Linked DNA regions of Rattus norvegicus. The protein of the gene in region 1 purifies or fractionates together with the protein of each later gene. This does not show direct contact. Links are inferred from orthologs where the notes say so. Each region holds a gene or a part of one and is shown in the gene's direction. Other genes may lie near its edges.

Evidence for each region.
Region 2: the proteins of Plekho2 (region 1) and Capzb purify together in Homo sapiens (affinity purification with mass spectrometry; 3 studies listed by BioGRID and IntAct, counting the BioPlex papers as one, with this or other methods). This does not show direct contact. The link is inferred for Rattus norvegicus from reciprocal best matches to the Homo sapiens genes PLEKHO2 and CAPZB.

What each region holds. Positions count from the first base shown.
Region 1 is NC_086026.1:74,992,550-74,998,680, reverse strand, and holds part of Plekho2 (pleckstrin homology domain-containing family O member 2), read left to right. Parts: intron 1-4,259; coding exon 4,260-4,409; intron 4,410-6,131.
Region 2 is NC_086023.1:156,780,040-156,786,170, forward strand, and holds part of Capzb (F-actin-capping protein subunit beta), read left to right. Parts: intron 1-4,167; coding exon 4,168-4,289; intron 4,290-6,131. UniProt on the Homo sapiens protein: F-actin-capping proteins bind in a Ca(2+)-independent manner to the fast growing ends of actin filaments (barbed end) thereby blocking the exchange of subunits at these ends.

The sequences.
Region 1 (6,131 bases):
ATAGGATGTAGGATGGTGGTCCCTGTCGGGCTTTGAGAAGAGCTAGTTTGGGTTCGAGCATCTGCCTATCTGTGTTTTCTGATCCTCATTTTCCAGTTCTAAAATGAGAAGGGGAATCTAGAAATTTGATAATGTGTATACAAAAGTTCTGAAAACCAAACACATCAATGGAGGTGTTACTGCTGCCTGTGGAGTAAGGTTGGAAACCTTAGCTCTGCCTCATTGCCCTCTCAAAGCCATGCCTTTCCTTGACTAGACTGCCTACTGTCCTCCTCACCTTTACTGAGACAGGCACGGCAGTGGGCTAAATTCTTGTTCTTTCTGTTGTGCCTTTTCTTTCTGTAGTAAAGGAGTTAAGAATGTGAAGTCTTTTTTTTTTTTATTTTTTTATATGCATGGGTGTTTTGCCTGTATCCGTGTCTGTGAACCACTTGCCTGTGGAGACTAGAAGAGGGCATCAAATAGCCTGGAACTGGAGTTAACCATGTTTGTGAGCTGCTGTGTAGGTGCCAGAAATTGAACCCAGGTCCTCTGGAAGAGTAGCTAGTGCGCCTAAATCTGAGCCAGCTCTCATGGGAATAGGAAGTCTTTGGTCTGTTTTTGCCTTTAGTTCTCCACAAACACCTACCTTCCTAAAGAGCTTCTTCACCAACCCCAGGCCCTTGCCCCAGCAGAAAGCTAGGATGAGGGAATTCTTCAGGGTCAGAACCATGAACTTCCCAACAGACAAGAGCCCCCTCAAGTGGGGAATAGCCACCTAGCCCTCTGAAGCTTCTCACAGGCAGACTTTGTTCTTTCTGTCTTCATTAGCCTGGAAGATCCCTTGAGGCAGGACCTGAATTATTTCTTCTCTCTGTATTTTTTTTTTTTTTTATCTGAGATCAAGTCTCACTATATAGTCCAGGCTGGTGGCCTAGTACTCCCCATATAGACCACACTGGCCTTGAACTCAGAGAGTTGGCTTCTGTTGGCTTCTGTCTGTTGTAACTCTGTTGTAGCTTTTCATCTAATCATTTCCTACACAAGGTCAGCATGACCTGTCTCCTTTCCCCCTTGCTTTTTAAAAGAACAGCCCCGAGACACTCCTGTGTCAGGCCTACAGAGCCAGGCTGATGCCATTGGGTACTTCAGGAGCTGCTTGCCCTGAGGTAGGCTGGAGAAGGCTCGCTGAGGATGACTGGGAGGGGAACAGAAACAGTGGTCAGCTGGTCAATAAGAAGAGAGGAGCTGGAGAAACTGGGCTGAGCAAGACAAAACCTCCCCTGTGAACCCTGCCAAGGGGAGGGGTGCCTTGTTAAAACTTACTGGGGTGTAGCCAGACCCCTGGTGGGAGGAGGTCTAAGGGGTGGAGGCTGAGTTGGGTGGAGGAGAGTGGAGGCAAGGAGGACGCTGGCGTTTAGCCAGGCCTCCCATAGGATAGCTAGGTCTTGCTTTCCATCTTCTGCAGTGCCCTCCTGCCCAGTCCCTTCCTGGTTCCACCCATCCATGCAGACCTTAGACTAGCTTCCCTAGCTTCACTAGGCCCTGTGGTGCATTCCTAGAGTTTGAAGGTGACAGCAATCAAGGCCTATGTCCCAGCTGTGGCCCCTAGAGCTTCCAGCTGATGTAATGTTTTGCATGTCAGGCAGTGGAAGTGGCAGGTAGGGGAGATCTTAGGGATATGAGGTCCTTTTAAAACTACGGGGTGGGGGGTTGGACTCCTTGGAATCAGAAGAGGAACTTGGAGCTTAGAGGTGGGAACCGTGAGCAGCAGCTTTGTTCAGGAGACCTGAGAACTGAGGGCTTAGGAGGTGACCAGCCGTGCTGGCATTGCTGGTGTTGCTGGTAGAAGTGTTTGTGTATGGGCATAAAGGCTCCTATTCCATAGTTTTCCCCTTCCAGTCCTGGACCCTGTGATAGCCTGCCCGGGTTGCTGAGAGATTAGGTTCCTGGGCATCTCATAGCCTCTGGGAGCCTAGCACATCCCTATCTCTAGGGAGAGGCAATTGGGTCTATGACTAAATGAGAGAACTACCGTGTTCCTGTCAAAGAGCCCTGAAGTCCCTTCCCTCTTCCCCTGGTAGGGTAGCTCTAACTGTCCTGCATCCTCACTTCCTCATTCCTGCATCCAGGAAGGTCATTTGGAACCAGCCCACTTCCCCATTTCTCTCGTCATCCACAAGTTAGAGCGAAGATTAGAAGAGACATTCCACGTTCCTGGAGATCTGAGGCCAGCAGCTCTAGCTCGGCTGCTCTCCATCTAAACTGAGAACCGCCAGATCTGGAGAGAAGGTCCCTGAGACTCCAAGGAGGGCGGGCAGTAACAGGCAGTGACAGCAGTAACAGGAGTGACAGCTGCCAATTACCAAGCTCAAGGTATCCTAGGAACTGCTCACACGCCTTGTCCTCATTTAGTAACAAGCATGGATCAAGTCCTTGCCGGTGTGCCAGGCACAGTCTAGGCCGTGGGACAGCAGTTCACAACAAAACCCCCCACCCTCAGGGAGCCCTATATATACTTGATTGTAGTCAAAAGGCAGAGAAGCAAGATGGATCCCTATTCCTTACAGGAACTGTTAGCATCTCCATCACCCAGTGAGCAAACTGAGACATAGAAAGAGGTGATGTCATTTGCCTCCGGCTCCAAAGCCTATGGTCCCAGTGAAGCAGAATGTGTTCCAGGAGACAGAAAGGCCACAGCAAGAAGCGGGCTGGATTATTACTGCCATGACAGAAGAGCCAGGCCCTGCCCAGCTCCTGACAGATCACCACACTTACGTCTGCCTGGGCTTGTCCTTCCAAAGACATCTGTGGCCACAGGGTATCTCTGGGGAGAGGCGTGCCTCTTAACTGGGGCCCCTTTTTGGAGCTCTATGTAAATTATAACGTAGCTGAAATTAGTCAGTGTTGATTTCCTCCTCATGTCTTCTAGATTCTGATGCTGTCTTGATCCTTTCTCCACCACCCTCTTCCCTCTCAGTGCCCCAGTACCTGTAAGTTTGGCATGGTGGTTAGCAAATAGGGCATATTTAAATTTTCGTTTGTACACAGATGTCCTCAGCTCTCATTAGGTATTAGAGAAGAAGGTTAAGTGCTTAGTACTCAGGTGAATCTGACCCCATCTCATAGGCATGCAGACATGTATACCCTACACCCAGCCACCTGAGCAGGTCATGGATGGGGCATGAGATGTGAGTGACAGGCCCTGAGACTGCAATGCAGCCCCCTTGTACAGAATGGTTTGAACTCAATTCCTATACCAGCCTGTGATGGAAGAGACCGTTCTCCGAGCACTCAACAGAGGAAGTAGCCACTCCACAGCATGGGGATGAGATCTGAGGAGTCCCCACTTCAGGAGAGGGAGCTGGATTGGGTTTTCAGGGAAGTCTAGGGTCGGGGGCGGGAGGGTAGGGAATCCTGTTGTTGCCTTACAGCCTGCCTGGTTTCTCCTATCCTCACAGGCCTTGCTTAAACATTCTCTATTCCGGGAGGTCTTTCTTGGCCACCGAACCACAGACCAGGTTCCTAGTGTCCTCTTACACACCAGTGCCTGCTTGTGTCCTTTTCTTAATTTTTTTGATTGCACTTATGTGCATGGAGGGGTACAAGCATGTGTGTACATGTGCGTATAGGGAAATCAGAAGACAGGTTATGGGAGTTTGTTTTCTTTGTCCACCATGTTTGTCCATCGAACTCAGATCGTTAGGTTTGGTGGCAAGGACCATTTCTGGATGAGGTACACTTCTGTCCCTTCTTCATAGCTTTTGCAGTAGTTAATGTGTGCATTTCTGGGTATTTACCCATTTAGCTGCCCTGTCTTTCCCGATGTGTACTCTATGAGGGTAGGTTGCGTCGCTTTTGTTCTCCTGTGACATGTGACATCACTTGGGCTCAATTCATTTGTTAACCGGTTTAATAAACACCGGGAGGCACAGGAGTGGGAAGAAAATGGGTTCAGAGAGACCTGCTTTGAATTTTGGTTCTGTCTTTCTAGCAGCGTGACATCTTTTTTTTTTTTTCTCGAGTTTCAGTTTACTGTGACTTGTGGCTTTAATAGCGATTGTAAAAGTTAAGAGAAACCATGAGTGAAATACAGTACAGTGGCTCAGTGTAAGGGGGAGGTTGCTACTGTTACTGTTCTGTTTTTTAAATACCTGCTTTGAAGGTTCCTGGGGAAATGTCACGTAGGCTGCCGCACTAGATGCATTCCCCATATGGTCTGCGGACCGTTTGGCTTCATGGCGACAGCCCTCACGATACGTTCTGGTGCTGTCTTACAGAGTATAAAGGAGGGGACCGAGAAACCTCGTGGAGCACGGACTGCAGACAAGGCTGGCTGGATCAAGAAGAGCAGTGGGGGGCTTCTGAGTTTGTGGAAAGACCGCTACTTGCTTCTCTGCCAAGCCCAGCTGCTGGTCTACGAGAATGAGGTGAGGACTTGCTTGGCTCTGAGAGCAGCAGTCAAGTGAGGCAGGCGGGCCAGCAGGAGCCCCTAAGACTGGGGCTGGAAGGCTCGCTCACCGTTGTTGTTTGTTTATTTGGTTGCTTGTGTGTTTGTTTTAAACAGGGTCTAACTATGGGTAGCCTTGGCTAACCTGGAACTTGCTCTGCAGACTAGGCTGACTGGCTACAAAACAGAGACTCACCTGCCTCTGTTTCCTGAGTGCTAGAATTAAAGGCGTGCACTACCACACTGGCCCCCACTTCACTGGCATGCTGTGCCACCCTGGGCAAGTGTCTCATCTCCTCTGGTCTCTATGTGTAGTAGTGGGGATGATACTTCTAGGGGCAAAGTTAGGGTTCCTGGGTAAGGGTTCTGTGCCAGCCATGTATAGCATTTGAGTCTCCTCAACTACTTACCTGTGTACTGGAACTTCCTGTTTTGGGCCAAGGTTTCATAGATGAAGTATGTGAGCAAACTGAAAGTGTTCCAATCAGCATTGGCACTAAACATACCAACTAACCCTCACAGAGACCCACTTGCTTCTGTCTCCTGAGTGCCAAGACTGAAGGTGTACACCACCATGATGGGGCCTATGTTACATTTTAAAGAAAGGATTGGTAAGGGTTGGGGGCAGGGAGGTGGGGATGGTGGTAGTGACTTCACCTTCTCACAGAGAGTGGAGGGCTTGATCTAGAGGTAAGCCCAATACTCTTTCCACCAAGAGACAGCAGCGAGTAAACTTCAAATTTTACTTTTGGTTGAAAAATTTTAAATGTTAATTACATAATGGGAGTGGTAATGCTCACCTTTAATCCCAGTACTTGCAGAGGCAGGAGGATATCTGTGATCAGAGTTTTTTATCCGACTTTGGAATTGCCAGAGTGCCTTCAGCTTTTCCCTTTTAATAAACAAGTGTTATTAAACACTTGTTTGTGCAAGAGTTCGTCTGTGAGTGCTCGTATGTGCCAAGGCACGTGTGTGGAGGTTGGAAGACAGCCTTGGGTATCAGTCCTCACCCTCTCCTTGTTTGGGGCAGGCTGTCTCTCTGTGTACTCGAGGCTGGCTGGACCACGAGCCTCCTGGGGGCTTTCCCATCTCGCTTCCCATCTCACAGTAGAAATGCTGGGTTTACGTGACCCTGTATCCTGCTTTCTATGTGGGTTCTGGGGCTGTGGACTCAGCATGTCAGGCAGTGTAGCCTGTGCTTTTCCTCGTCAAGCCGTCACCCCAGCCCCAGTCAACACTTCTGCTGTCCCCATGCCTCCCACAATCCTCACACCTTCCCACTTAGATTCTCGCCCCCCCTCCCACTTTCAACAGACTTTGGACAACTAAGAACAGTAAAATTGCCAATTTTACACCTATAATCCCAACACTCAGAAGGCTAAGACAGGAGGATTGCTCTGAGTTGGAGCCCAATCTTGACTATAGTGTAAGACCTGGTCTCAAAAACAAAAAACAAAAAACAAAAACAAAAACAAAAAAAGCTAAAATTGTTAGTTTAGGAAGCATCAGAAATGCTGAAGACTTGGAGGGAGGGTGGCTTTTCCTCTTGGTACTGGGGTTCAGGCTGCCAGAGGGCCCACCCACTGAGAATGCGATGATATTGTCTGCCTTTGGCAGATGGAATCTGTGAATGGAAGGGGCTTGCATCTTGCCTATCGACCCCTCTCAGTCCCGTTAAGGCAGCTTGGCAAATTCCTGAGTG
Region 2 (6,131 bases), on another chromosome or scaffold:
ACTGGCCTGTATGGCTTGGGGCAGCTTGTTTCTTAGGCCCTGTGTGCCTCTTTAAAGTAAGGGTCTGTAGGCCAGCAGGATGGCACAGTGGGTAAAAGCATTGCCACCAAGCTGAGGACCTGAGTTCGATTCCCAGGTTCCATGTAGTGGAAGGAGAGAACCAACGCTCACAAGTGACCTCTGACCTCTATATCTACGCTATGGCATGGGCACCTTCCTCAAAGAGTGAGTGAGTGAGTGAGTGAGTGAGTGAGTGAGTGAGTGTAGTTTTAAAGGAAAAAAACCAGTCCTGGTGATGAGTAGTAGACTGGATCCCATGGTGACAGACAGTCCTTGGTGATGGAGGTAATAGACTGGATCCCACGGTGACAGACAGTCCTTGGTGATGGAGTTAATAGACTGGATCCCACAGTGAAAGACAGTCGTCTTTTTAATGGTTTATCATCACTGTTGTCTGGTTTTTCTATGTTGCCTCTGTGGATCCTGAACTCAATCATTGAGTCATGTGATCCTTCTGTCTCAGCCCCTGGGTTAGTTTGACTACAGGTATGTGCCACTGTCCTGTCTCTTGTTAAAGCTTTCTTTGCTGTGCTTGGACTGAACCCAAACCCAGGTGAGAATAGTAGTTCCTGCCGCTTGGCTAGTGGCTTCCCTCTGAGCTCTCTGTCCAGAGTGAAGGCAGGGCCTGTCCCAGCAGTGGTATAGCGTTACTATTCCAAGTCACTGGAAATTAACTTGAAGCCTCAGCAGCCTGATTTAGCCAGCACCGTTGGTGTTAGATGGACGTTCTATACAGAAGCTAATGATGGCGGGTAGGTCCTGTGGCAGTGCGGAGAGCAGCCAAATGCACAAAGTAGACTTGGGTGGCTGGACCTGGTCATTCCGCTCATTTATTGCTGCAAACTCAGGATTCTGACACCCTGAAGAGTGACACAGCCAGGGGCAGGAGTGATTGATTGGCTCTCAGACCTGAGCAGCCTCTTTTCTCTGGTATGCGCTCAGGCAAAGACCCTATGCCTACTCCCCTGGGACCCAAGCTTAGATTGAGAGCCCTCTGCAGCCGACAGGACATGGTGCTTGCCTAGGGGGTCCCCTCATGACTCCCTGGGCACAGCGTTGACCCGGGAGATGGACACAGGCAGGGAAGAATAGGCCCTGCTGGTGGTGTTAGGATAGCCAGCTCAGGAGCAGTCACAGTCCTTGTGCCATCCGTCCATGGGACTCCTGGGGAGAAATGGGAGTCTGGGGTGGGGCTGAAGGAGACATCGGAAACGTGGTGGAGTTTTAGATTGAACAAATAAAGAGCTGTCCTGTGTAATTAATATTCGAGGCATGGTCAGACTGGAATGGTCTTCCTTGTGAATCTGAAATTCACATTTAACTCAGCAGCCTACAGTTTCTGTACCACCAACTCTCAGTGGGGAGGGTTTTTATACAAACTAGCATGTTGAAGAGACAGCTAGTAGGCCAGTGTTGGGAAGGTGGAGGGTGGGCAGGATGGGGGGCAGGACTGACACATGGTGTGTATACACACACACACACACACAAACAGCAGGACTGATACATGGTACACACACACACACAGAGCAGGACTGACACATGGTACACAGACACACACACACACATGCACACACACACACATGCACACACGCACACACGCACTCACGCACAAGCGTCTGGGGCAGCTGCCATACTGTATAGTCTGTACTTGTTTCCAGTGACAAGCATAGTGTCCTTACTCCAGACCAGATTGTCTTTGATCAGAAGAGGAACTGATGCAAACAGAACTTAAAAGTATGGCCCACATTCAGAACGTGTCTTTCAGGGACCTGAGCAGTCAGAGCCAGCCAGCCGTGACCCATCCTAGGTACTTGTGTGCTCTCAGGCACATCCTGTGTCCTGCAAGATCTCTGTAGCTTTCCACGGTGTGCTGCCACGGTGGGGCTCAGTTGAGTGTGTGTTCTTCTGTGGTTGCTAGGGACTTGTGGGCTTGCACAGTCCAGGGTCAGCCCTTCAGGGTGCCTCGTCTCCGTGGTTTGCCTGGTTCTGTCTTCCTGTCGTTGCCGTGGAAGGCTGGGCTTGGGCTTCAGTGTGGTGTGAGGTTATTTGTTCCTTTTGCTGCTTACTTGAGACTCTGAGAATTGAACTGAGGACCTCATGCACAGCAGGCAAGCACTCTACCACTAAATCATCTTCCCAGATGTCTAGTTCCTCTTAACTCAAGGTCTTAAGTATTCGAGTATGCTTGAAACTCACTCTACAACCCAGCCAGTCTTTGGTCTTAGGATCCTCCTGCCTCAGCCTTCCAAGTATTTAGGCTTACAGAACTGTGCCACCAGGCCTGGTCACAGTGATGTGGAACTCATGGACTCAAATCTTTGTCTTCTCTCAGCCTCCTAAGCTTCTAGGATTACCAGTGTACATAACCGTGCCAGCTAGAAATGGAGCCTCTCCTGGCAGCTCCCATTGTCTTGCCAGCTTGGCTGGCGAAGGAGCTCTGTCTTCCCAAGCATCCCTCAGCATCTGCCATCAGAAGCAGCAAGGTGCACTGAGGTACAGAGGGCTGGAACTGCTACCCAGTATTAGCAGACAGCCAATAGAGTCCACACAAAGAGGACTTGACAACTGCATGAAGACCCCAGTAGCAGCCCAGTGGCTCGAATGGATCCTTGGTGGCAGGCTACAGCACGAAGGGTAGCACACAGCTGCCAGAGTCATTTCACTGGGCCAAAAAAATACAGCAAGTGCCTCAGACCCAGCTAGGGTGTCCCAGGTGGAGGACCTAGCTATAACTGAGCTGCAGTGGGGGCTGGGAGGAGCTTGGTACCATTGCTGCTCACTGTCCTTAGGGACCAGAGTGACAGGCTGAAGGAGCTTGGGAGTCACCTAGCCCAGGATTGGATTTCTGTATTCCCTGCTGACTGTTGATGTGAGTCTTGGGCAGCTTTAATGACTCGGTCTCAGCTCTGTAATCTAGAAGTCCTTGGTTACCCACTTCATGCCCTAGTCTGAGCGTTTAGGCCAAGAGCATACTTTGTGATACCTGGCTTCACGTCCCACAGGCATTTAGAGGTAACAGAGAGGGGTGTCGCCAAAGCTAACTTTGGAAATGACCTTGCCTGTTGGTTGGGTGAGTGCACAGGTGCATGTGGACCAGGTTCTGAAGACAAGCACACCATGCTTGGGCTGGAGGTGTATGCTTCTCCTTGGGGACCGATGTATGTGTAAGAGTTGGACCATCCCATGGAGCAAGAGGTGCTTCAGTGCCAGGTAGCACTTTGTACACTGGACTGTGATGTGGATGGTAGCATGCAGCGTCAGAGCCTGGTTGTCCTAGTAGTGCTGGCCTTTGGGAGGGACACGTGATCTGAGCTGCATGGCCCCCTCTGTTAGCAGCCCCTCTTCTGGTAAATGATGAGGCTCTGAGATGAGAAAGTCAGGACGCGGAGACAGTGTAGAAATGACTCGAACAGAAAAGCATCCACTCTGCCAGGATCCCCTCCTGGAGACCAATGTTTGTGTTGGGAGGAGGCAGCCCTGGTCTGCTCCCCCAAAGGCTGTGGTAGGAATTGATTGACAGCACCTTATGACTTGTTCCAGCCCACCAAGCTGGGCCACCAAGCTGTTTGCCCTCCGCTCTACAGGTGAGTGGACTGTGCTCTGTGTGGAAAGCGTGTGGACATCCACCTCTGTAACAGACACAGCCGGCTAGGAACGGCCTGGTAATGCTTGGCCTGAGGCCTGGAAAGAGCTGGAAACTCCACCCGGCCGGCATGGGAGCCTGTGGGAGTTCTCCAGAGCCCCGTTATTCTTTGAGTTCTTCACATTCCTGTGTATTTGAAGTGTTTGCCTTCTTCTCAGAGCCTGAGCTGGTATTTTGTCCACCAGAGACCAATACCCAGCACACACATCCTCATACTCACAGACCACCCTGGTGGTCAGGTAATTAAAGCCACACCCGGCTTTGGAAAGACTGCGTTGGAAGTCACGCTCCACAACATCTCATGGCCAGGTTTCTTTATAGAGAAACATGGTTGGTGTTGGGCATATGTGGAGAGTAACAGACAGATTCCGAATTTTGGCAGGGCACTACAAGCCAGATGTTAACCTGGTCCTGAATTGGGGGTTATTTTAATGACATTTCTCCATGTCCTCTCTTTCTGCCAGGTCCCCAGTCTGTGTGAAGATCTCCTGTCTTCTGTTGACCAGCCCCTGAAAATTGCCAGAGACAAGGTGGTGGGCAAGGACTACCTTTTGTGTGACTACAACAGAGACGGGGACTCCTATAGGTGAGCTCCCACATTGTAGCGCTCACCTCACAGCATGGGTAGCCCATCCACACATCTGTTTGTCCTTCTTTCTCCTCCTCTCAGCTGTCCATCTGACCCACTAACGGGCATGTGTGGGTACCTTCCTTGAGCATCAGAGAGAAGAAGGTCTTGGTGCCGTACAGTCTAATGGAAGAGCCGTGTGGTTTCAGGGTCAGCTGCCCCGATAGGGTGGTGCGTCCTTCCTTCCTTCCCTTCTCTTTTCCTTTGCCATCACCATGTGGCCAGTTGACATTGGTCCCTACCCAGGAAAACACGTCTAGTAGCTGATGAGTAGCTGTGCTGTGATGCAGACAGTCAGTTCAAAGCTGGCTGGGGGCCTTAGAGGAGCCTAGAAGAATCTGTGGTCCAACTCCAGAATGACATGGTGTAGGACATGGTCCTGGGTTAGATGTTTTTAATAGACTAACTATCTATTTTGAGATGGTCCCACTATATATCCATCCCTTGCTGGCCTGGAACTCCCTTTGTAGACCAGACTGGCCTCAAATGCATAGAAGTCCTCATGCCTCTGTCTCCCGGGTTCTGGGATTAAAGACCTGTGCCAACACACTTGGGATCATTTGTTTCAAGTTTCCCAGTGTGAGAATCCCAGAACACCGCAGGACTTCCTGGGGATGAGCACACTGGGTTTGGGCTTATTAGAGACCACACTACCAGGGTTCTTTTTGGAGAAACAGGGAAGGGGACCAGGAAGAGCAGTATGGACTCTCAACCAGCACTGTTCCTACTGGGAGCAATGAGACTTTGGCAGTGCCTTGTCATCTCTGTCATTTCTACAGAATAGAAACTGTAGTGGTCATTCAGCCAGCACAGCATACAGAAGCATCGTGAGTGTTACCTGTGTTGCAGGTACTGCTCACAGCTCTTTTCTGGAGTCTGTTTTGTGAGGAATGCAAACGGCTACTAATGTTAGGCACGAGCATCAGTCATACAGATTGCAAACATATTGCTACAGAGAACAGAGCAAGAGAGAGAGGCAGGGTGGATAGCCAGTGGGGGCTTGGTCACAACTGTGCTCTAGAATGAGTTGTGGAGTCTGCACAAGTTAGGAACTTCCTGGGTCCCCAGCCCTCGGTGGAGGTAAGCTCACTGGTGTCCAGAAGGCTATGACAGCAAAAGAAAGGTCAGAGGCACAGCAGGGCCTGTAGAATAGGGGCCTTGAAGGCCAGGCTGATGCTCTCACACACTGCAAGTATGGGGTATCCTTTGTTTGAAACTAAGAGAAGGAAAACTGGCGGTGGTGGTGGCCCCTTCTACTTCCAGTGGAGGTTAGTTAGGGAATGGCAGGGCCTGAGCCTGGGACTGAGGACAGATGGGTGGAGCTTGGAAGCAGAATGACAGCTGGGAGGTATGGTCGCTGTCTGCAGAAGGACAAGTCCTGACTCTGAATGTGGAATGGCCACTGGGCAGGTGTGGCATGGCAGGTCTGAGAGCTGGCACCAGGCAGGTCCCCAGCAGGTGCACAGGGGCAGCCCTTGAGGAAACTTCTGTGAAGGTGATAAGCAAGCCTGCCACAGGCCACAGTGAAAGCCCTCACGAGGCATTGGCTCCATTCGGGCTTTCCTGGGAAAGATACCATTGAGACTCAGTAGCCACTGGTTCTGCTTTGTTTGTTTTTAAACCTGAAGCTCCAGGTAAGAAAGCTGCTGTGCAGGAGTGCAGGGAAGGACAGCATGAACTCCAGCTTGTGCACCCCTCCCTCAAGGGCTTCAGTCCTTCCAGAGTACCCTTAGGCCCCACCCCTGCTCCCCAGACATCAGAGGGGTTCGGGATGGGAGCCTCACAGGGGAGCAGAGGGTA